Linked DNA regions of Rhinolophus ferrumequinum. The protein of the gene in region 2 interacts with the protein of the main gene of each other region in a pairwise test. Links are inferred from orthologs where the notes say so. Each region holds a gene or a part of one and is shown on either strand. Other genes may lie near its edges. The genes, in order: CDC73 and TSGA10.

The links.
Region 1: the proteins of TSGA10 (region 2) and CDC73 interact in binary tests that used the Homo sapiens proteins (3 or more experiments, as listed by UniProt). The two-hybrid records come from large-scale screens. The link is inferred for Rhinolophus ferrumequinum from reciprocal best matches to the Homo sapiens genes TSGA10 and CDC73.

What each region holds. Positions count from the first base shown.
Region 1 is NC_046310.1:4,967,095-4,979,806, forward strand, and holds the start of CDC73 (parafibromin), read right to left. Parts: upstream 5,071-12,712; 5' UTR 4,823-5,070; coding exon 4,692-4,822; intron 2,248-4,691; coding exon 2,142-2,247; intron 19-2,141; coding exon 1-18.
Region 2 is NC_046296.1:4,999,413-5,011,877, forward strand, and holds the start of TSGA10 (testis-specific gene 10 protein), read left to right. Parts: upstream 1-6,217; 5' UTR 6,218-6,282; coding exon 6,283-6,339; intron 6,340-12,465. UniProt on the Homo sapiens protein: Plays a role in spermatogenesis. When overexpressed, prevents nuclear localization of HIF1A.

The DNA.
Region 1 (12,712 bases), on a different chromosome or scaffold from region 2:
CACAGGAATATTTTCTGTCTGAAATAAAAATTTTAAATTAGATACCAAATCAAAAACAATTATAGACAATTGGTAAAGATAAAAATCATGTAATGTCTGAATTTTAGTCCAACATATCTTCATAACATTATTTAGAACTGTATTTTTAGGAAATTACTAGGTTAAAAGAACCTAATAAAAATCTTTAAAAGTACTAAGCATGTTAATTTTTGGTAACAGAAATGAAACAATGACCCTTTCCCTCTTCAAAATGTCAATTTGAGTCTGTTTTGTTCCCTTCGCTTACTCTACGTACTTAGTTTTTAATTTTACTCATGATGGTTTGCGTTATTTAGGGCAAGTATCTTTTTAGTCTCATTGCTTGCTAATTTTATGCAATGTTTCCAAAGTGCTTTCTTTTATCACATCTAAACCAGACTTCCTCAAAATATACTTGCACTCTTTCAAATAAACCAGCTTAGCCACTAAAACTAAATTTTTATAATTAATACTAGGTATGTGGGAAATTTTAGATTATACAGGGAAATGTTAATGGTGGTTGTATACTTTCTACATTGCATATTTCTTTTTTATCCTCAAGTGTGTATACATTCTGTAAGATTAAAGAATTAAATCTGGAGAAATGTATATACTTTGGTAAAACAGGTAATTTTCCTTTAAGTTCCTACATGAGCAATTTGTAGAGGTGAGCAAAACAAATAGAACGGTATACTTTAGGCAAAAAGTTATCTCTGGGCTATGAATGCAATGAATCCTGCAATTACAATTGTCCGTATCATTTTTATAATGCAAACAAAAAACAGAGTACAGGAAAAACTAGTGGCTGCAGGATGACATAGTGCAAATCCTTTCAGGCAGTCTCCATAAGCCAACAGTGAAGTAAGCAGAACCCTTAGCACCCTAGCTGATGACTTTATGTTGACGACTTGATTTCACTGCACCAAACATTCTGCATGCAGTCCTCCATCGTAGAGATACACTGTATTTAATCACTTAAGATTAATGTATGTTTTCAAAAGAGTACGCTAAACTTTCATTGCTGCTTACAAATACAGACATTTAAGGGCCCACAGGTTTTTCTGTGATCTCGCCTACAAGGAATATCATAAACAGTTAAAAAAGATTTGGATGAATTTTCCTTACACTACTGTTTTTAAGTCTGAGAACACACTTCAGGGTTTGGTCACTAGTGAATGATACACACGTTACAGGCAACTTGAAAAGATGGGAGTCCACTCAACGGAACTAGGAGCTACAACTCAGGCAAACCGATTTCAGAAATGGTCTGTTCCAAGGGGCGAGAAGGTAACACAGAGTGAGGAGAATAAAACTGTAGAACCTAGAATTTTAGAATCCTGCCCTTTCAATCTTTCAAGCAGTTAAGAAAAACGAAGCGTTAAATGCTGTGTGACCTGGGTCCTCAGGGCCACAGTAACGACCAGTGCTAGTTTGTGCTACACCCATCCCCAAGAAGAGACTCTCTAAATCTCAATCAAGTGTCGGGACCACCCATATTACCCCAAAAGGAATGCATACAACCAGCAAAACATTCTAATTACTGCCTAATACAGTTTTTAAGATCTGAGTTAACATGGCTTTACAGAGATGCTGCTGTGTTATCCCACTAGTTCCCTAGATTCCAAGTCGTTTCACCTTACGCATTATTTCTTTCAATACATATCTGACGCTAAACATGTATTTCCTGTTCACAAAAGCAGTGTTCAAACACTGAGGTGCAGAAAGCAGGCAAAACTGAAAACAGATGAATTTATCAATAAAATCTGAAAAAAGTTTATTGCTTAAAAATTAATTTTAAAAAGTTGTTAATCTTGATTCTTTCTGATGTCAAAAAACTTTTGAGATTAAACTAAAGTTCTGAATTTTAGGGTCCTTGCACAGACTCATAAATTATTTAAAACATCCCTATAAACGTCTTTAAAACTTCTGTCGTTGTAAACATTACCCACATTTTACATGCAAAATAATCCGCATAAACCACAATAATCTAATCACAACCCTCCAGGAAACTTTCATACAAATCTTTCATGCTTTTCATCGGAAATCCATGAGGGACATCATCCATGTCAAATGCTACCTACCATCAATTAAATCAATAAAGTTTTAAAATAAATTCTACTTACGGCTGCACGTCGGACATAAACAGGATGAGAAAGATGCACATTATTAAGTAAAAATAAAATAGAATCCAATGTGTAGTACTCTCTGGGCTGGCCTTCTTTTCCAGTCCTGAAAGAATCATGGCAAGAGTTTTACTCACAATTCTATTTCAACTCGTAGGGCTTACTTATGTGTCTTAATTTACCTACACCCACTTTGCTATCCAACAATAGAATGGAATTAAGATGGCTAACAAAAATACAAAGTATGAAATCTAGAAAGTGGAATCGTCGTTAGGTTAGGTAGGGCAAAAGGAACACAAAGGTAGACAATGGCAAAAAGCAAGAAGGAAAGCACACACATTCCTACTCTAAGACATTATATATACTTTTTAATATTTGGCCCAAATTAGGTTCTGGACTTTGTCAATAGAGAAACCTAATCGGTAACACACTAGAGAGGATTCATAGAAAAATAGACTGAAAAGAAGAAAAGAAGCACAACTGTTACTGGTGCTAAACTTACAAGAAATTTATCCTATGTCTACGTCTCCTAAGTAATGAACACAACAATTAATTTCTGAGGTATAAGTCTTAATCACATGCTTCAAATTAAACCAATGACCCAAAACCAAAATGAATTCTACCTGCGATAAAACAACGTAGTCTAGGGGTGCAAGATACTTACCACAGGAACGTACTACTACTTGCTCAACAAACATTAGTGTCCAACCCCACCCCTCCTACAACCTTCTCCCCGTCTAGAAATGTCCAAGCATTTGAATTCACTTGAACATGGCCCAGTGTAATCAGCCCCAAACCTCATTGTCCAGCCTCTATTTCCACTTGTCCTCTAAATCTATGTATTTCAAACCACACACCACTGTCAATTATTGCACTATGAAATCTAAAATATGGGTAACAACCAGGGGTTTTTTATGATATAGAAAAGCAAAATAACAAACAGAATGTACTGTATGCGATAAAGTATTGTTCAATGTCATGAACGTGTACAGATTTACATACGCACCCAAACATTAATAATGAAAGAAGACATATTTATTGGTGTGATTCACTGCTGTAAAAGTTTGAAATCTACTGTTCTAAGCACTCCTTTTTCACTAAATTGCTCTCAAAACATTTCCTTTCCAGCATGCGTGCCTTTTAATACAGTTCTCTTGTCTTTAAAGACCTAATCCACCATTTCACCTCAGAATTCCTACCCATTCTTTAAAGCTTATTTACCTGTTCATTCATTTATGCAAGAAAAATCGGTCGCATGTCTACATGCCAAATATACGTCCATGAAAACTTTCCCGATACCCCAAGCTAGAAGGGGTATTGGGGGTCTTGTCCTAAGACCTAGAGCAGGTTTCATCTCCTCTTTTCTGATTAGCTGACCCTCCTTTGAGGCAGGGACCAGCGTCCTAAGAAGTTTCCATTTCTCAGGTTGGACTGCCCAACACCCTGAGTACTCCTGAACCACTGAAGGAAAAAAAAAATACACAGTTAAAACTCCAGTTTAAAAGTGTAATCCAGTCTGCAAATCCTTCTGAATGGACAAAACAGGAAAATCGGAATGATGTCATTTTTAACATTCCATAAAGCTAATTAAATCCCAAGCCCTCAAGCCAGAAAAACAAAAAACAAAGAACAACCAACCACCTGAATTTCCCCTAGTTTTTCTTCAACCCTTCATAAAGCGCACTACTTCCATGCAATCAAACAAAAAGAGTATGGACGTTCTGGCCCAAGGTCCTATGTATCCCCACAAAACACCACCAATGAGAGACCCATCACTAAAAAGGCCCAAACGATGATCAGACCTCTGGCTCGATGTTTTCTTAATGACTTAAATTCAGGGCACCGCACGTGGATCAAGGTCCCCAAACATTTCTCTTGAAAACACATTTCCCCAAATCACAGACCCCATCCATTTCTAACTCAGACCTGCAAACCTCACTCTATCTCCCCAGCGGCTTCGTCCCTGAGGAAACTCCTGCCTTCACTTCCAACGTATTTGGATCACTCGTCCAAAGGGACCAAACCTCTTTCCCGTCCTAACTCCACAGAGTTGGTGCCCTTCTATCTTCTCGAGGGAATCGCAAAAGGAGAAGAAACAGACCAGGAGCTGCAAGGGTCAGCGGAGCTAGTTAGCAACACAGGGCAGCCTTGGCCAGAGAAAGAGACAAAACAAAAAACAAAACAAAACAAACAACAAAAAAAACCCTCAAGAACAAAAAGACACGTCTCCGGGGACGGACGGGACGCTCCTCCTTCACGCACCTATACGCGGTGCTAGCCCTCCGTCCACATCGCGACAAACGAACCGGGCGACTCACAAACTGCCCCAGGACCTTTCCCTTCAGCTCCCCCAAGACTTCATGGGATGGACCACTCCAGACGCAGCTCCCACCTCTCCCTCCTCACCTACAAGTGTAACTTCCACTCCAGAGAGAAACTTTTCCCCGAGCCCCCGTTTTCCCCATCCCCGAAGGGACCGGGGGGAGGGGCCGGGAAAGAGGTCGCCTGGGGGCGCCCGACTCTGCCCGGCCACAGCCCTGCCGGACTCACCCCCAAACTACATAGTTGGTCTTCACATTCTTGGGCCAGGAGAACTCGCCGAAGATCACTTCGTCTCCCTTCACCACAATCTCCTTCTTCTGGATGTTGTACTGTCGCAGGACACTGAGCACGTCCGCCATCTTCACCCCCCTCTCCGCCGCCGGCCCCGGACGCCGCCGCCGCCGCCGCCGCGCCTGCCTCCTTCTTCCCCTGTCGCCTGGTTCTCCTCCTCCTCCGCTGCCGCCGTCGCCGCCGCCGCGAACCAACTGCAGCCGCACTCGCAGCCGTCCTCGCCTACGCCAGCAGCAGGGGCAGTAGCCACCCAGGCCGCCGAGGACCCCGCGCTAGGAAGCAAGGCCCCACCGCAGGCTGCCCGCGGAGATCGCCTGACTGCGTGCCTCCCGCGCTGCGCGGCCGCCGCCAGGGGGCGTCGCCACCGCCCAGGAAAACGCCCCTCCCAGACTCCCAGCCGGCCCGGGCCCGACTCCCGGCCCGCACCTCGGAGCGCAGGGACGCGGCCACCACGTACGACGCACGTACGGGAAACATCGCCGGGCGCAGGCGCGCGGAGCAAGTGCTTCATCCCCCGCCCCGCCGCCCCTCCCACCGCTGCCTGGGGCTCCGCGAGCGACAGGTGCGCGCGCACCTGCGTAGAGGTTCCGCGCTTCCTTTCCTGGAGCGCGCGCGGAGGGACCCGTCGCCCGTTTTGAGTGCGGCCGAAAGCTCGCCGTCCCTGCTTTGGGGATGGAACTTGGCAAAAGGTTTGCAGGACGCTAGGATTACCTTCCCACCTAGGTCGAACCAGGCCTAGCGAATGGCCTCTGGAAGAGCGAGGTTTCGGGTTGTTTTTGGTGTGAGGCTGATTAGCATCTTGGAAAAGACCGAGTCCAGCGGAGAGCAATCCCGGACTTGGTCAAGCTATGTACCTTCTCACAGCATCAATTGGGTCTTGGAGAACATGGAGTTCGTATGAGAATTAGGTGAAAGGGTCCAGCAAATCATCAAAATGTCATAAATGTGGGCCCTTCCCCTTCAATTCCTTACATGGTGACTTTTTCCGTCCTGCGTCCTGTTTCTCCCCCACAGGCACCAAAGGGCTACATTTAAATGGTTCTGTTCCAATATGCCAATAGGAAATTTAGAGAACTCGAACCCCAAACTGTCTGAATCAGAACACTTTTGGATTACTTTTTTTTTTTTTTTTTGGCATCCATAAGGCTCCAGGGTATCCTTGCTGTCCTGGAAACAGTGCTATAAATTCAATATACAACAGGTGTAATGCAGGGACCCTGGTCCCGCTCCCTGCACGAGAACGCAGGACATGGTGAGGCCAAAATGGAACACCAATGGAGCCATAGAGAGGGGAGTCATCCCACTATATTCTTGCTGGCGGCTGGGTTGGAGACACAGGAAGCAGGAGCCACACGATCTGCAACCTGCCGTCCGCTTCTCTGCCAACCAGCCCACCCGCTTGCCAGCGTAGCCATGGCAGTTATATCGGTGGCTAATGGCTAACTGGTTACAGCCAATGGCCAACCAGTCACAGCTGATGACCATCTACTACCCGAGCCACCACCTTTCCACGCGAGGCTGAGAGCCTGGAAACTGCTCTCTGGGACTCTGTCCCCACAGCAGGTCCTCAACTTTTTTTTTCAACGTTGTTTTCTTACAATGTTGATGAGAGGAAAAATAAAAAATTGGAGTCCAATCAGGCCATTGTGATATTTGCAGCTCATCCCCATGTCTGCATGAGTTTTCCCCAGGGAATCTGTCGACTCTTGTTTCCTCCCATGTCCCAAAGGTATGCTGGTGGAGTTCACTGATGAGTATACACTGTACCAGTGTGAGTGTGGGTAGATGCAAGTATGGGCCCTCTGACAGAAGACTGCCCTACCCACCGGGTCCTCAGAGTTAGCTGCAGGGATGGCTTCCACCACACACGCCCTGAACTGATATCAAGGAGTGGGGAAATGTTTGCCATACTTTTGTTCATGTTTCTTAACACAGGTATATCTCACATTTGTTACTCAGACTGGGGCAATGAAGACAAGCCAGCTATACTCTCCTGCATGTCTTTGGGCTGTGGGAGGAAGTACACACTCCGCCCGGACAGTGGCCCTCACCGAAATACATTTTTTTTCTCATCAACGTTATAACCAAAAGGCCCTGAAGGAAACGATGTCATTTGAGGACCTGCTGTATTATGGGTAGTTTCCTAAGGAGGTAATCAGAGATGGGGTTATCCTTCTATTTGGTAAGGGAATGAGAGTGACTGGGTTTAATGTTGTGGTAATGGACAGTAGTGTGCAAGGGAAATAACCGTATTTTATAGGAGGTTAGGCGGCCAGCTGAGAAGTGTGGAGTCTTTCTTGTCAATAAAAACCTCTGCGTGGTTTGGGGAACAATTAGTTTCAGCGGAGACTCTAGAACAGTCAGTGGAAGCTTTCAAATGTTTTGCCACTGTTTGTTACAGCTCTTAGATGAGATGGGTGCACTTTGGCTATTGGATCTAATGAAAGACTTAACTAAGTAATAAACCTCTGAAGAATCAGTACATGTCTTCAGACCTTTCATGAACAAAAACAAAACAGGATTTTTGAATCTAGAATCCTGGAAACAAAATATTTTGATAGACTGGCTTCTTTTTAACTTGAAAAGTATACTACAATCATTGAAAGATTTATATTAACACATTTTGTTTATGTATAATTTACCTGTCTTTTTGCATTGTTAGTTTTTTCCTACATCTTGTAAATAATGATTTCTCATAATAATTTTTTTAAAATTTGAGGAATTATGAAAAAAATCTAATTATGTTTCTTGACCTTTCATGTGTAAAGGAGCAATTCTTTTTTTCCTCAATGGCCATTTTGGGAGAGCTGATGAGCATTTAGGCATTATTCTGAATCTGGGTCCTAAACTGAGAAAAAACAAAATTAAGAGTAGTTGTTAGAGTAAACGAATATTAAGTTATAAGTATCCAAAGACAAGAAATATTTTTAGGCAATACTGTAAAAGCATAGCGAGATACAGCAATGGTATTAGAAAATAAATCTTTTCAAAAGTAGGAAGGAATTTTTTCAAAGTCATTTAAGAATATGTTAGCACTGACAATTACCAAATATTTTGGTGACATAAAGGAACCTCTACTAATTTGGGCACATAATAATTGAATTCTTCTACAGAAAACAAGACTCAAATTCTAATTTTACTCTTTTGTACATTATTCACATAACTACCTACTATATAAAATTTATGAGTATACCTTTATATGCATGTGTATTTAGGCATGAATGAATACATAAATATACAAATAATATATTTAAAGTATTTAAACTATAGCCTTAACATATACACATTAAATAAAACAATGTAGATATCATATTAAATTTAACATCTTCATAAATAATAACAACTCTTAATAAACAGAAAATTATATCGATTGTCTTCCATACAATCTTGTATTTCTCTGTAATTATTGTCACCTAATATAGTCAACCAGTCATATAAATAATCATATTAACCAAGTAACCATCTTCTTCTCCAAACAAAAGAGAATATCAGAAGACAGAAAACTATAATTGCTTAGCGATTTTGTTCTATTAATGTGCGTTTTATATTATTTTAACAATTTTGAGGTTGTAAAAATAAGCACACATATAAGGTTTGATTAAAAAATACAGTGAATGCTGCTGCCGAGTGCCATTCAACAGAAAGGCAGGGATCTCCAATAAGGGAAGCGGTGCGTGGAACCTTAGTAACAGTGTGTGACAAGTTTCAACTTGTTCGGTGCAGTCAATCAGGTGTGAGCTACGGTTGAGAGAAGGTGTGTTTTAAAGTGTGCTATAAATCATGGATCACAAACAATGTATTAACATGAAGTGGACAAACGGTTTCATCCTCCATTATGACAACGCTCCATGTCACACATTGCTGTTGGCACGGCAATTTCTGTCAAAAACATTACAGTGTGTCCTCATCCACCTTATTCACCAGATCTGGCACTATGTGACTTCTGGCTCTTCCCCAGAGTCAAAATGACCAAGAAAGGTAAACTTTTTGAATCGATTCAGGACATCGAGGCAGCCACGACTGCCAGAGGACTTCTAGCACAGCTTGAGAAAGTGGCAAGAATGATGGCATAAGTGTGTTCGAAGCAAGAGGGAGTGTTTTGAAGGGGATTAATGGCAATGTGTCTTTTACTTTAATCATTTTTTTATGTAAACATTCACCATGTTTTTGATCATACCTCATATATATATATGTGTATATATATATATATATATATCATATAACCAAGAGACATTTGTATATTTTGTTAATCCATTGCCATTGTAATAAATAACAAATTATATTTAGTAACCAATGTGGTTTTCTTATCTGCTTTTTACTTAGAAATTGTCCAAGCATCAAAAGATTAGTTATTTGTTAACTTATTCGTTTGCCTAGTCTTAAAGTTAATTAAGGATCGGTAATTTACAATTTTAGCAAGCACATTAAATTGTTATTTGTAGCACTGTAAGAATTTCAGAAAGTTGTCCCTTCAAAAAGATATCTGTTGGGCCGGCCCGGTGGCTCAGGCGGTTAGAGCTCCATGCTCCTATTGTTGGTTGGAGCACATCCTCTCAACCACAAAGGTTGCCAGTTCAATTCCTCGACTCCCGCAAGGGATGGTAGGCAGCGCCCCCTGCAACTAAAATTGAACAGGGCATCTTGAGCTGAATTGCCGCTGAGCTCCTGGATGGCTCAGTTGGTTGGAGCGTGTCCTCTCAACCACAAGGTTGCTGGTTCGACTCCGGAAAGGGATGGTGGGCTTCACCCCTTGCATCTAGCAATGGCAACTGGACCTGGAGCTGAGCTGCACCTTCTACAACTAAGACTGAAAAGACAACTTGAAGCTGAATGGCACCCTCCACAACTAAGATTGAAAGGACAACAACTTGACTTCGAAAAAAGGCCTGTTCCCCTTCCCCAATAAAATCTTTAAAAAAAAGTGAGTGACTGTGTGAAGGGTGCAGCCATTTAAAAAAAAAAAGATATCTGTTATTACCATTTCATTTTGTTGAATACAATTCATATATTTTACTTATAGATATATATATATCATGTTATACAAACAATGATAATTTATTTAATTCAAAAACCAAACATAGGAAATTTTGGAAGTACAAATCATGAGAAACTAAACACTAGTTTAGTTATGTACAAAATATTATGTTGACATTGTTTTTACATGGTAAATTAAAATTTACAAACTCTGAATCATGCCCAAAGTTCTTCTTTTCTTGTATTGTGCCTATGTGACCAGGGCTATTCAGTAAGTATAATTTTCAGAGTTCACAAAATAAACACTAAGTTTGACAACTGTCTTTTAGAATGAGCACCTAACTGAATGTTTTTGTTTGTTTGATCCATTGGTTAATGTTTAGATTTTTTAAGAGAGAGAAAATGAAAAGCAGGCAGCTTCAGACAAATATGAAATGACCACTGTAAAAGGATAATTATATTTTCTATGTGAAGAGAGAAGAGAAAATTTAGACATAGAAATACCCATTTTAAACATGTACACAGACAAAAGAGTATTATTATAGCTGATTTAAAGAATAACTCGGACCCTTGACAAGTTTATCTAGTAATACAATTAAAAAGCAGCCCTTATCAATCTTCAAAGTACGAACATGAAAGAGGGGGTGTCTCCTACCTTAAATTTAAAAAATTATCTTTCCTTTACACTAACAAGACAATTTCATCATATGACTTTCTTTTTTGTTGTTGTTCTAAAGCACCTCCTAAATGACTGATCTTGTTCTTCTCAAAAGTAACCAAAGTGGCTTGTGTAGTTCCAAATTGTCTCTCGTATAATTCTGCCAGTTAGAGAGTTCAGCGTACCAGTTAAAATAGTTTTTGATCAAGAAGCCCCTGTGAAAACTGCAGTGTTCCCTAAAGATGCTACTGTGTTTCCCCAAAAATAAGACCGGGTCTTATATTAATGTTTGCATCAAAAGACGTATTAGGGCTTATGTTCAGGGGATGTCATCCTGAAAAATCACGCTAGGGCTTATTTTCCAGTTAGGTCTTATTTTAGAGGAAATACACAATACTTGTGAAACCTCATGTCTCCGGAAGTTAGCCAAAAGCTAATCATCCCCAAACATGGGTGGGACAAGCTTCCTGCTTTTAAAGCAGATAAAATTAAACAGAGCAGGAACACAAAGACAAGACTAAGGAGGGAGTCTTTGTATCATTTGTAAATGGAAACGAGGCAAAGTTGGTTCACAGACAATGGTCTGAGGAGACCTGTGGCGCCAGCTCAAGGATAGACTTATAGGGCCTCTGCCTCTCCTCTTCCGATGGACTTTTCCTCTCATAGACAACCTCACAGCAGACAGGAGAAAAAGACAACCACAGGAGAAAAAGTCAGAAGGCTAGAAAACAGTTTCGCTAAGGAATAATACAAATCTGGTCAGATCGCAGTACGTTCTCAGGAGACTTTTTCCCAGGGAAGAAAATAAAACCCAGTGTAAAGTACTTCAACACAATGTCGGAGCTCAATTCAGCCTAAATTTACCTCCTCACTCCAGGTATGGTGGCCTTGGCCAGGAGACACAAGAGATTTCCGATGTCCAAACCAGAGGGTCAAGGGGCCCAGTCTGTGGCGGTGAGGGTCTCAGCTGAATCTTTAATGAAAATTTCATTTTTGTCAATGACCTTCAAGCATAGACCACCAGGAACACACTGTAGAGAGGGGCGTACCAATAATCACATCATAAAGAGTTAGAGATTCAGGGGAATACGACCACCATTGTCCCTTTTTTTTGAAATGCCACTGAAATTTCTCAGTATGCAATAGATAATTTACTAAATTATGAACATGAATTTACTTACACTCACTATATGCCTCTATAAAATTTTGCAAGACACATGTTTCACTGTGGACGAAAAAGGGACCCCATACTAAACCTGACAAGCTCAGGGGAGGCCTGCCAACAGGTCCTGCAAACTCAAGAGACCGAAATTAACCACACAGGATGGTCTGAACATAAAAATTCCCAACTAAACTCAGGTCATGGCAGGTAGTCACATCCTTGGCCTGCAGGTTCCTTAACAAAGGTATATCTTTACCTTAAGTGAGCCTATTGTCTCTTTGCATCTAAGATAACATACCCTTGGAATGTCAGAGTAATCCCTTTTTCCAGACCCCTCCAGTCATAACCTGCCAGAGCAGGAGACCACAGAACCCTCATTGTTATCTCGTTCCCTGAATACCATCTCTAAGTGCCCTAAATGTTTACCCACCAATGTAAAAAGGTACCCACTCGTGTAAAAGAAGTGTCTCTCCATTTTGCTTTTTACCCAATCCCAGAGATTTCCCCACTTTGCTTTCTCCCACCCCCTTAATCTACCACCAATGGATTTCATGTAACCCTCCTTATGTCTCCTCCTTTGATTCTAATGTATAAAATAAGCTGCAAAACAGCCATTTTCCAGAGCATTTTCTTTTTCTTTTCTTTTTTTAAGGTTTTATTGGGGAAGGGGAACAGGACTTTATTGGGGAACAGTGTGTACTTCCAGGATTTTTTCCAAGTCAAGTTGTTGTCCTTTCAATTTTAGTTGTGGAGGGTGCCGTTCAGCTTCAAGTTGTTGTCTTTTCAGTCTTAGTTGTGGAGGGCGCAGGTCAGCTCCAGGTCCAGTTGCCCATTTTTTTTAGTTGCAGGGGCCGGAGCCCACCATCCCTTGCAGGAGTTGAGGAATTGAACTGGCAACCTGTGGTTGAGAGCCCACTGGCCCATGTGAGAATCGAACCGGCAGCCTTCGTCGTTAGGAGCATGGAGCTCCAACTGCCTGAGTCACCGAGCGGGCCCCTCCAGAGCATTTTCTTTTTTTTTTCTTTTTTTTTCCCCCATCAATATTTTAATATGAAAAATTTCAAACATATGGAAGACTTGAATGATTTATACATAAAGTCTAAAATTAACATGCTGCCATATTTACTTTGTCACATGTCCATCCCTCCATCCACCCATCAATCC
Region 2 (12,465 bases):
AACTTATGATGAATGTGCAACGAAAGTAATTTCAGCCAGTGCTTCAACAAAATGAAACAAAGAGCAAGGTATTCTTATCCACCGAGTAAGTGACTCTGACTTGATAAGATAGGTGATGCCAACTTTATTACCACAGGGTGAACAGCGCAACATTTCTCTTCATATACTTGAGGCGGGAGCTAGCAATCTAGCTGATATTTTTACAAAAATTATTGAAAAATTAAAACAAAAGATTTTTTTCCCCTGAAAGTTTGGGCCCAAAACTTGGGTGTGCATTATACACGGGAACACATTATACACGGCAAAATATAGTAAATTTATTGTGGTTATATAAGTGAATGTCCTTGTTCTTTAGGAAATACGTGCTGAAATAGGGGTAAAGGATCATATCTACAACTTGCCTTCAAATTATTTACCAATAGAGAAAGTGAGAATTGGAAAAAAAAGATGTCCAATAAAGATCAGCAAATGTTAAAATGTTGAATCTAGATGGGAAAGTATAAAAAAAATTGTTCAGTGTTTATTCTTGTTAAATTTCTGTGTGTTTAAAACTTTCTCAAAATACAAAGTTGAAAAAAAGTTAAAAATACTAACAAAACACTATAAAACAACATACTTCATTTAAAATCAACAAAGGTAAAATAATGGTAACATATATAATTAGCAACTAGCACATTAAACTTCAGTCTAATAGAGGGACTGGGGAAGAACCAAATGCAATTGGCCCTAGGAATCTCACCTTAACTTGCCTGGGATCTTGAGGACATGATGGGAGAACAAGTGTACTTGGGGACTCTTTGGAAACCCAGCATGTGGACAGTTATTTAAGAAGAAATCGTAAATGCATAAGGAAGAATAAAGTTCCATAGAGCTAAATAAGTTTGGACACACATACACACACACAAAGAGAGACTTGCCTTATAAGATACTAAGATATGCTACAGAGTCAAAATAATAAAAACAGTCTAGTCCAGGTGTAGGAACAAATAAATGACCAATAGAACATGACAGAGCTCCAACTTGAACCTATATTTGTGCAGGAGCTTTACATATATAGTAAAGGTGGCACCATACAGCAAAGGGGGATAGATCCGCTAGCACCGTGAACACTGGCTCACGATGTGGATGAAAATAAACCAGGATCCCTCTGCTATACAAAAGGGGACTCCAAGTGCAGTAAATACCTAAATGTGAATGGTAGAAATATGAAATGTAGGCCAATGTATTTGTCACCGTGGGGTAGAGAAGGATTTCTTAAACAAGAACTGAGAGGCTTAATAAGGAAGAAAACTGATGGATCTGACTACTCACAATTAGGAATTAATCTTCAATAAAGAAACTATAAACAAAGTAAAAAAGATGGGGAAGAGACTGGAAGAAGATGTGCTGTCCAAAGCCGACAAGGGATTTACAGCGAGAATATAAAAAGAATAAACATCAACAAGGAAACCCAATAGAAAAATGGGCAAAGGATGTAAAGACATACTTCACAGATTGGGGAATCTCTAATAGGTAGTGAGTACATAAAGAGACGTTCAAACTTACTAGGAATCAGAGAAATTCGAGTTCACTACCATGAGAATGGCTGGCATTAAAAAGGTGGATAACACTGAGTGTTGAGAATGCAGGGTGACAGGAAACCTTGTGCATTGCTACTGAAGTAATTTTTAACTCCTATTTCATATTCTACATCCAACCCTTCAGTGAATCCCGTTTCTGTTTCCACCCTTGCCCCCCTGCCCCATTGTATGGTTTTTCAAACTGTATCTGGAATGAGCTTTTAAAATATAAGCCAGATCCCATCAATGCTCTGCTGAACACGTTCTAGTTACTCCCTATCTCAGAATAAAAGCCAAATTCTCTACATATCAAATCTCCAGCTGTAGGTAGAATAATGGCCCCCAAAGATGTCTAAGGTTGCAAGTGGCATTCAAGTTGCCAATCAACAGTCCTTGTGGTGGGGAGATCATCCTGGACTAACCAGTGGTTGCCAGTCTTTATCAGTGAAAGAGACTCTCAAGAGTCTTTATCAGTGAAAGAGAGGCAGGGATGTCACTGTTGCAATGCAGGAAGGACTTCACAGGCCACTGCTGGCTATGAAGACAGAAGGGGACCACAAGCCAAAACAAAGCAGGCAGCCTCTAGAAGCTGGAAAGGCAAGAAAACAGATTCTCTCCTGGCGCCTCCACAAGGAATGCAGCCCTGCTGACAACTTGATTTTAGCCCAGTGAAATGCATTTTGAATATCTAACCTCCAAAACTGTAAAATGATACATTTGTGTTGCTTAAAGCCACCAATTTTGTGGCAAACTGTTACAGCAGCAATAGGAAACTGATACACCAGCTAACATACTGTCATCTCAAACTCCTCTCCTGTTCCTCACTCACTCTGCGTCAGCCCCATAACCTCACTGCTGTCCCTCAAGCACAGTGCCCTGAGCCTGAGGCAGATTTTGAATTGCAAACCACTTCTGTTGGGGATGGTTGGTGACGGGCAGAGACTATGAGGAACCGACTTCTGGTTCCAGCCGTGATACAGAAACAGGGATCAGATTTATCCTCTTGCCTGAAACATCTTAAAAAATAGATAAAACACGTGAAACCATGGTTTTAAGATATTGGACAATAGGCAGTGCAGGAGCGTAATCCCAAAGAGAAGGGAAATAAACAAGGTGAGCCCTAGGCGAGCTGACTGCCTAGAAATTTCAGGCTTTAGTACAAGGAGGGGGAACCCAAATTAAGCTTGGTTATGTCAAGTTGTTGAGAAGACAGAATCCAGAGTTTGCGGAGGCCAAGTTGGCTAGAATTTATGGAGAGAGGTGCAGCGAGAGAAAGAGCTCCAGAGATCTGCAGAGGATTCCCCACAATTTTTTGGCTGTGCGTAAGGAAATTTTGAGGCCTAGGAAAGAACCAGCCAAAAGGAGAAGGCAGACACAGGGCCAAGAATAAAGTTCCCACCAGCCAGAGTGGAAAGGAATCCTAATACATGGGGCATCGAATATAGTCCGCAGAAAGGTACCGGCTCAGCAATGGGGCCAAATTAGCCTGAGATAAAGACTAGTTTGACCTAACAAAGCTTGAAAGCAAGCTTCTAAAGCAGCGCGGTCCAACAGAACTTTCTGCAATGACGGAAATATTCTACATCTATTGTCCAACGGAATAGCCACTAGGCACGTGTACATTTGAAATTACACAGTAAAATGAGGAACTAAATTTTAAATTATATTTAGTTTTATTAACAAATTCAAGTAGCCGCCTGTAGCCAGTGGTTACTATTTTGGACAGGGCAGCTCTAAAGGATCAAACTGTTTCCAAGTAAACATACTGCATCTCAGAACAAAGCCTAAATATATTTAGGCACCCAACAATGTGAAATCTGCAATGTCTGGCAGCCAATAAAAACTTACCAGGCATGAAAACAAGCAGAAAAATATGACCCATAGCCAGGAGAAAACAAATCAGTAAATAGAAATGACACAGGTGATAGAATTAGGATGCAAGGAACTTAACAGCTCTTTTAATATATATTCCATATTTCCAAGAAGGTAGAACAGAGCATGAGCATGCTGAGGTGTGATGGAAGATCTTTTTAAAAAATCAAACTTCCAGAAATGAAAAATACAATTCTGACATGAAAAATATTGTGGATGGGATTAACACTGCCAAAGGAAAGAATAGTGAACTTGAAGATAATATCAATAGAAACTATCCAATTTAAAAAAAACAAACAAACAGAGCATCAGTTAGCTGTAAGGTAATATCAAGCATGTTAACACATATATAACTGGAGTCCCAGATTTTTTTTTTTTGGAGGGGACCAGGAAGGTACAGGAAAAAAAAAAAAGGCAAAATAGAGATTTGCATAGTGAAACTTGTGAAATGATGGAGAAACTAAGGGAATAAAAAATGCAGGTTTTAGAACCGCACAGGAGTGTGTCACAAGGGAGAGAGCAGAGGTACTATGAAAAGGGTCATTTGGGGCAGGATGGAGCACCCACCACACTTCGGGTTTTCATAGAGGGAAGAAAAATTTCACTTTCTTGGTCTGGGGAGGAAGTCTTTGAAAGGAAAATCATCATGTCCTGGTTTGGTCTTAAAGTGATCTTTTCCCTACATTCTTTCCAAAGAATCTTCAGTAACATCTAGGTGGCATACATAAATGCTTAAACTTTTCTCATTTTTCCCCTAAGGGATGTACTTTCCTACCTCTTATATTAATAATCCATTCCTCTCCCCAAGTCTTCAATTCCAACTGAGTTTTGAAGTTCATACATTTTTCCCTATTTCTTTTCAATAATGCTGGATAATGAGAACCTGTTATTCAAAATAATCTTAGTATCTAAAGAGGAAACGAGATTATACATTGTTCTCTCTAAAATAACTTTTCAGGATGGTCTTTGAGAGCTCATGCTTCTTTGTAACTTATTCTCAGAGGAAATATATCTCTTGGGATCTCTGACTTCTTTATCTAAAATAGTGACACTCAATTTAATTTTTTAGTATCTAGCTATATTTACAAAGTATATGATATCTGAAAATAAATGCTACAAAATAAGAAAATGTAATGGCACACAATGATAAAAAATCAGAGCAGAAAGTGTTTGAAAAACAGCACTTATATTTAAATATACTTCTATGAAGAAATTGGTTCTAACATAAAATTTGTTTATGCCTGCCAATAATATATTGTGGGAATAAATGAGTACTCACCTGGCAAAAACAGGAATTGTTAGTCTTCCAATGTGAGTTTACTTTTGAAATGCACAGGCAAATACTAAATCAAGATAATCAGAGCAGCTATAAAAACCTAGTTATCTATTTCATCTGTGGAAAAGACAAGGAGATAAAGCCACCATTTAAGTCCAGAAGCCCTTGGGTTGTTTAAAAAAGATGGGTCACCCACAGCCCCAAAACACAATATTTCTTAAGCTGGGATCCAAAAATTTGGCAGAATGATGCAGTTCACATTCTTTTTCACTAAAAACTGATTTCTCCACTTACAGGTAATGTGGTTAATTTTAACATAGTTGGGTGGCCAAAAATATTACACCTGGGTAAGTTAAAGGAGCGTTCTCTGAGAGAAGACAAGTTTAAATGGTATTAAATAGGAAAACAATCGATACAATAGTAAATGTCAAGTGAAGCAATACACACCGTGTTTCCCCGAAAATAAGACTGGGTCTTATATTAATTTTTGCTCTAAAAGACATATTAGGGCTTATGTTCAGGGGATATCCTGAAACATGCTATGGCTTATTTTCTGGTTAGGTCTTATTTTTGGGGAAACATGGTATACCCCTTACGTTTTATTTTTTGTTAACCATCACCAGTTTTTGAGGAAAGGGACTGGCATCTGGAGATGGAATATCGGACAGGAATCTGCGCTTTCATTGCTAGTTCTGCCACTTTTCGATTCAACCCTTACTGGCCCGTGCAGGGCTGACCCGGCCGAGGGGTCGCAGGCTCCCCAGAATGCAGGCCGCCGGTGCTCACCGAACAGGCCGGCTCTCTCCCTGGACGTGCAGCGGCAAGACCCAACTTGGGAGGCTCCCCGAAACCCGGCCCCTGGCTGGGGCAGCAGAGCGCACCAACCTCCCAGCGCCCAAGAGCTGCTCTGGGGAGTAACAGGTTCAATGAACGTGGGTCCAGAACGGTGCCGATCCCAAGGAAAAGTGGCACAAAGCAGCGGCAACCAAGCAGCAGGTAATCCCAAGCTGAGAGGGCGGCTGGAGGGCACACGGCCCTGCGCATGCGCGTTCCATCCAGGTGCGGCAACCTGCAGCGGGAATAAGAAGTCTTGAAAAAAAGAGTAGCGGCTGGTTACTAGGAGACGGGGACGCTCGGGTGGGACGTGTAGTCGCTGCGTGGGCGTACGCCTGCGCGGCGCGGATGCACCAGGAAGACGTCTTTCCTAGGCGTCTTGTAAGGCGGGCAGGTGTCGAGACGTGTGTGGGTGCGCGCCCACAGCTTGTAGTCCCCGCTAGAGGGCCAGGTACGCGTGCGCACAGGGACTGAGGGCGCGCGGGACGGAAGCGGAGCGAAGGCGCCGGGGAGGTGGAGGACAAGCCCCCCTCAGGTACAGAGCGTGAGGGCGGGGCCCAGTGCGGCGCCGGCCTCCCGTAACCGCCCCCGCCTCCTTCTCGCCGGGTCCCGCCTTCCTCCGCCTCCACTGGGGTGGGGCCAGGTCGATTTGCGGGTGGGGAAGGAGGGGAAAAGGGCGGAGGATGGACTCTGGGAGGGACCTGGATCCCTGGCGGAGGCCCAGGCCTGGCAGTCGCTGGGATGAGCTCCGGGGAGGACTCCGGGCCGAGAAACCCGGGCAAGGACCCGGACCTACAGGTAGAAGCTGCGGGAATGCGCCGGGTTGGGGTAAAGCAGCTCCTGGGCCGAAGACGGCGGCTGCAAGAGGGCAGGTGTGGCGGGGGTTGGGGGCTGTGGGTGACCCCCGAGGTAGGCATTCACGGCTTGAGCCGCTGTGAGGGAAAGTAACGGGCAGAGTTGCGGTCCCGGGAAGCCCTCCTGGAGCAAACTTTGCTCCTGTTGCGGTTTCTTAGGACATTAGCGTGGAGCCCAGTTCCTATGGTGACCGCTTCGCTTCGGGCCGCAGCTCTCCGCTTGGTTGTTGGGGGGACTGTTCTGTTTAGAAACGCTCTGGAGTGGAGCTCCAGTTAGAGATTTAGGAGTTGAACCTGGCTCATCCTGACTCCCAACCTCTCACTTCTAAGCCTCTTTATAGACTTTGGGAGGTGAAGGGCCGAAATTACCTAGGCATTTGCATGAAAATCTCATAGAATTTCGGTAGAAATTATAATAGGAAAAGCAGTGTAAACTGGCTTTTGTTTGAAAAAAAATAGGAGACTTAGATTGAGTAACTGGCGATCATGGCCCTGATACCTAAATACGCGTAGAAATGCACATTTTTCTTTAAAATGCTTTTCTTTTTTCAAGGATCGCTGTTTCAGGAAAAGTTCGCATAGATGACTGTCTCAGAATCTTCCTTCTTAAATTCCATGCTCTTATATCTTAGGATAGTCATTGTTTTAAATGTCCTCTATTGGCATTTCAGCTACACTTTTAGTTTGTTTACCTGTGAGGAAATAGAATAACAATTGGCTTTTAAGTAGAAGAAAATAGGTTAGTTATAAGTATACAAGGAAAGTGTCACATAATTGAAATCTGCCTCCAGGATAAAACATTTTTTATTGTATTTTAATTGATCGATGAACTAAACGATTCAGTTTTAATTAGTGGGACATAATTAGGAAGGCACATTAATGAAATATTTATTTTAAACAATAAACTTTGGCATTAGTTAAGGGCAGCTTCCAAAATATATCTTATTTTGTTTACCTTCTGAAAAAAATCACTACTTATACCCCAGCATAAAATCATTTGTAGAGATTCTCTGGGCTCTCTTTCTGTTTTCTTTTTCAGTTGCTTAGTTCAGTTTGTTTTAGGATAATTTGCTTTTAAAGTGCTCCATATACAGAGGCAGTTAGAGCAAGCATTACTGTTCGTTCTCTTTTTCCATCACATCCCTCCTTTTCCCCAGATGTAGCCACTGTCCTCACTTTTGTGATTGCCACTTCCTTGTTTTCCTGTATAGTTTGTGCATCTTTGTATGTGAATGTGCACATTGAAGTTTGGCTTGTTTTTGAGCTTTACATAAATGGAATTTTTCTAAGTATTCCTTTGCATTTTGCTTCTTTACTCAACATTGTGTTTTTAAGATTTATTCGTGTTGTTGCTTGTAGTTTGTTGTTTAGTTTTCTATTGTAAGAGTGTTGGTACCACAATTTGTCTACTCTTCGTTTGCTGAACATTAAGGATTTTACAGTTTTTGGTTAATGTGAACACCACTGCTGTGAACTTTCTTATACGTGTACTCCATGATAATCGTTTGAAGTGAGCTGGTTATTAAGTAGTTCTATGTCTTAGTTATGCTAACAACAGCAGTCTATATATTAGTAAATTCTTTTACTTCAGAAAAGCCTCTTGAAAACAACTATTTAACCACTTCTTATGTTTCCAGAAGGTCTTGATGAATGGTACCTCTCCTAAGGCCATTGTTTTATGCTGTTTTAAAAAGACAAGTTATTTCTTTACAGTATAATCTGGATTGAAGAGAAGTGAGAAGCTTGAGTTTGGATGAAATGACTAGAGAGCATTATTTTTCATAACAAAGGTTAAACATTGTGGCTTTACTATTTTGTTTGAAGTGAATTCCCAAAACATTTATTGACTTATTTTTATTATAAATACAAAACCCTGTCTCAAAATTATTCATAAAACTTTGTGTGGTTTTCTACACCTTTCTGTTAGTAAGGCTATTCCTTCCTATTTCAGTGTCTGTTAGTCTAAACTTCCAGAGACAATTTTATAAAAAGAAAACAAGTTGACCTTTTGTGGAACCAGAATTTAGAATCCCATATAAAATACTCCAGTGTTTTCAATTATTCTATCAAAATATTCAGTAAACATTTGTTGAGCACATATTTTATACCTGATATTTTACTCAGCATTGATGATACTTTTTAGCACATGATTGTACCTCCTTTTTTACTAAAAATTAAGATTCTTACCAGGCAGGAACTTTTTCATATTTTTACCCCTTCTTATCTAAATCTTCATCTGACCTTGTTTTTTCTGTTATTGGAGGACAGTGCACACCCTTTACCTGGGTTTCTTCTTAGCTCAGTGGTCATTCTGCATTAGTTAACGTTAACCTATGTCTTAGAATCTTCATTGTGTTTATACTGTAGGGCTTCTTAACCTGGCATACAAGAGCTTTAGGGAGCTCTTGAACCCCCTGAAATTGTAAAGTTTTGTATGTGTTTGCATTTTCCTGAGGATAGGACCAGGGCTTTTGTTTAATTCTGAAAGGGGTCCTTGATGTAAAGAGAATTAAGAAACATGTTTTTTGGGGTGGCCAGATGGCTCAGTTGGTTAGAGCGCCCACTCTCAACAATGTTGCTGGTTCAGTTCCTGCATGGGATGGTGGGTTGCGTCCTTCCCTTCCGCCCCCTACCCCCGGCCCCCCCCCCACACGAACTAAAGATTGAAAACAGCAACTGGACCTGGAGCTGAGCTGCGCCCTCCACAACTAGATCGAAGGACAACGACTTGGAGCTGATGGATCCTGGAGAAACACACTGTTCCCCAATAAAAAAATTAAAACAAGAAAGAAACAAGTTTTTCTCCTCTTGTAATGACCCTTTGACAACCCTGCTCTTCTTCCAACTTTCACTCTACGTTTATTTTTCTCACAATTGTGCTTCCTAAAAGAAGTCTAATTTTCTACTTCCTTCTTTACTACTCATTCATTTATCAGTCCTCTTCAGACTTGCTCCTACCCCATCCTTACGATTAAAATTACTTTGTTCCAGTCATCAAAATTCATTATTTTAAAAATGTTTCCTTGAGTACCAACTTTGTGTTGGGCACTTTTCTAGGCATTAGGGATATAAGTGACCATACAAAAGCCTAGATCTCTTGGAGCTTACATTCTAGTAGGGGGAGACAGACATAAAAAAGTGAAGGAATAAATGATATAATTTCAAATAGCATTAGTGAAAAAAATAACCTACTGAGAGAATGAGTCGGAGAGAGGCTACTTTAGGTCAGGGAAGCCCGCTGACAGATCAGCCAAATAGCTGGGGGTAAGATGGAGCCAGCCATGCAAAGAGCTGGGGGAGAGAATGTTCCTGACACAGGGAAGGCAAGGGCAGAGGCCTCAAAGAGGAATGAGACTGGCACATAGAGGAACAGGAGGAAAACCCATAAGGCTGGTGGGTGAACAAAGAAGAGTACTAAGTCTTTTTAGGGACAGGAAGGCAGTGACCAAATCACCAAGGATCTTAAAACGTTTGGGTTTTATTTTAATTGCAGTGGGAAGCCATTGGAGTGTTTTTGGGCAAGATCTCACTGTTTAATGATTGCTTTGATTTCAGTTTGGAGAATAGGTTGTAGGGAGCTACTGTAGAAGCAGAAAGACCAGTTAGGAAACGGTGGCGGTCATCCCTGTGGGAGACAATGGTGATTTGGACTACTGAGGTGGTAATAAAAATGTAGAGAAGTGGATGGATTGGGGTATATTTTGGAGTTAGAACCAACAAGACGTGTTGATGGATTTGATGGAGGTCAGGGAAAGAGGAAACAGACAACTCCTGGGTTTTTGACCTCGGGCACTGCTCGATGGTGGTGCCACTTGACATGGAAAAACTGGGAAGGAACGGAGGGGAGGCAGGGCTGAGAGCAGGCATGCAGGGTTTTTAAGACATGTTAAAGTTGCAATGGCTGTGGACAGCCAGTAAACGCAATATGATGTGTTACGTGCTTCGATTGGGGTGTGTTCATAGTTTTTTTTGGAACATGGAAAATGTATTCTAAGTATTTGGGGGAGAAAGAGAAGTCAGACAGGCTTTTTTGTAGTCCTTTTCTCTGTATCCCCTTAGCATCGTGTGCATTCCGCTGATGGGGCCCTGTTCATGCTGTGCTGTAATTTCTGACTTACTTGTTCTGGATGTTCCTAGATTCAGGGAGTGTTGCAACTGTAGGTATTTGTTTTTCATCTTTCTATCCCAGAATCTAATATTGGTTCATCTTCATTGTAGCTATTTATAAATTTGTTTGGTAAATGAATAAATGTGACTGTGACAGTCTCAAGGTATGAACTGAAATAATGATAGTAGGGATGGAAGTAATGTATTTCAGAGAGATTTTAGCGAAAAGATCAGTAGGACTTGATGGCCATTTAGGTCAGTTGAGTCAGTGAGAAGAATTAATAATAATAGTAATTGTGAATAATAATACATATAGCATTTATTTTTGCTAGGCACTATTCTGAGTGCTTTACGTACATTAACTCATTTAATCCTCAGAACAACTCTATGAGCAAGTACTGTTACCATCCCTGTTTGATAGATGAGGAAGCCATAGCCAGAGGAGTAACGTGCCCATGCCATGCAGCTGAGAAGCGGCAGAACGAGTGTGATGGACATAAGCAGTGTGATGCTGAAAAACATGCCCTTAACCCCTATGCCCTGGTGCTTCCCAGCGACAGTGACTGTGATTCTAGCTTGGGTGTCTATGACGACAGCTTGCTGCTTGCACTGTACTTTTTCTTGCTTTCTCTGTGATCTGTACAGGAACAGAAGTTCCATCCTTAGTTCCATTTAGAGATTGTGGGAAGATGGAGGATATTCAGGTGACAGGCCAGGCAAGGGCATTTCAGGTACTCTGATTTCTCTCCCTTCTTATTGCCTCCAAAGCTAAAGCACTTAAAGTAGCAAGTCTAATATGATTGCTTACAATTGTCACATTGACTGTTGGTCTCTTCCGACTTTTAATTTCTAGACTAGCCTGGTAGGTAATTTTTTTATTTTTAATTTAATTTTTAATTAAGTGAAGAAGAAAAAGCAGGGAATCAAGAGGAGAATTGGAACTGTTTCACAGTTAATCCCAGACATCTGTGCCTTGGTCTACATCGTGCTCTGTGATTCTGCTGCAAAGCTTATAGACTTCCGTGTACTTGAAGTGGCAGTAGACATTGGGCTGACTGCCGTATTATTCATAACCTCTGCTGTGAGAGTGTAAGGAGGAAATTTTATAGAATCCCCACTTGTCTTCACGAGAAGAAGGAAAGTTCAGTTTTATCTGCTTTAGTACACTGCTTCATTATCAACCTCCACAAATTTTTATGATGCCTTCCTATTACACAAAGAACTCTGTGCAGGTTGGGGGGAGTACAGAGAACTCTAGGACATTGCTTGTTCTTCAGATTCTAATGGCGGTGTGAGGAAGATATATCCAGAAAAAAACAAATAGCTACATAAATTGTTCTATAACGAATATATACAGAAGTCTCAAAGAAGGATGGGATCACTATTTGATGGAGCTGATAGAGAAAACCTCCTAGAGAATATGGAATTCAAGCTGAGTCTTAAAAGTACCTTTAGTTAAATGGAGAAAAGGGTGAGGGTAAGTAAGGCTTATGAACAAAAGATAACATGACCGTATAAAGAACGTGTGGAGTCCTTTGGAATAGATTGTCTTTATTAGAGGGGTTCTTGGAGGTGTCAAGTAGGAGATAAGTTTGGAGACATGGGGAGGGATCATATTATGAAGAACTCTGAATGCTAGGCAGGTTTAGACTTTACTTAAATAGATCCTTGCTATTCAGCTGTAGTCTCTGTACTAGTCAAGTAGGGATCCCCGAGCACTTTTTAGAAATGCAGTGTTTTAGGTCTACTGTGAATAAGAATCTACATTTTAATAAGATTCCCAAGTGATTCGTATATTCACTGAAATTTGGAAAGTGCTGCTGTAGTGAGGAGTCATTTGATTCTGTTATTCTAAGTCAAATGTTTATGACTAGGAACACATTTTCAACAGGAACTATGTAAGAAATGGTAGTTAGGATTTCAGCCTAACCCATAAAGGCTTAAATTATTCTAATTGGAAATA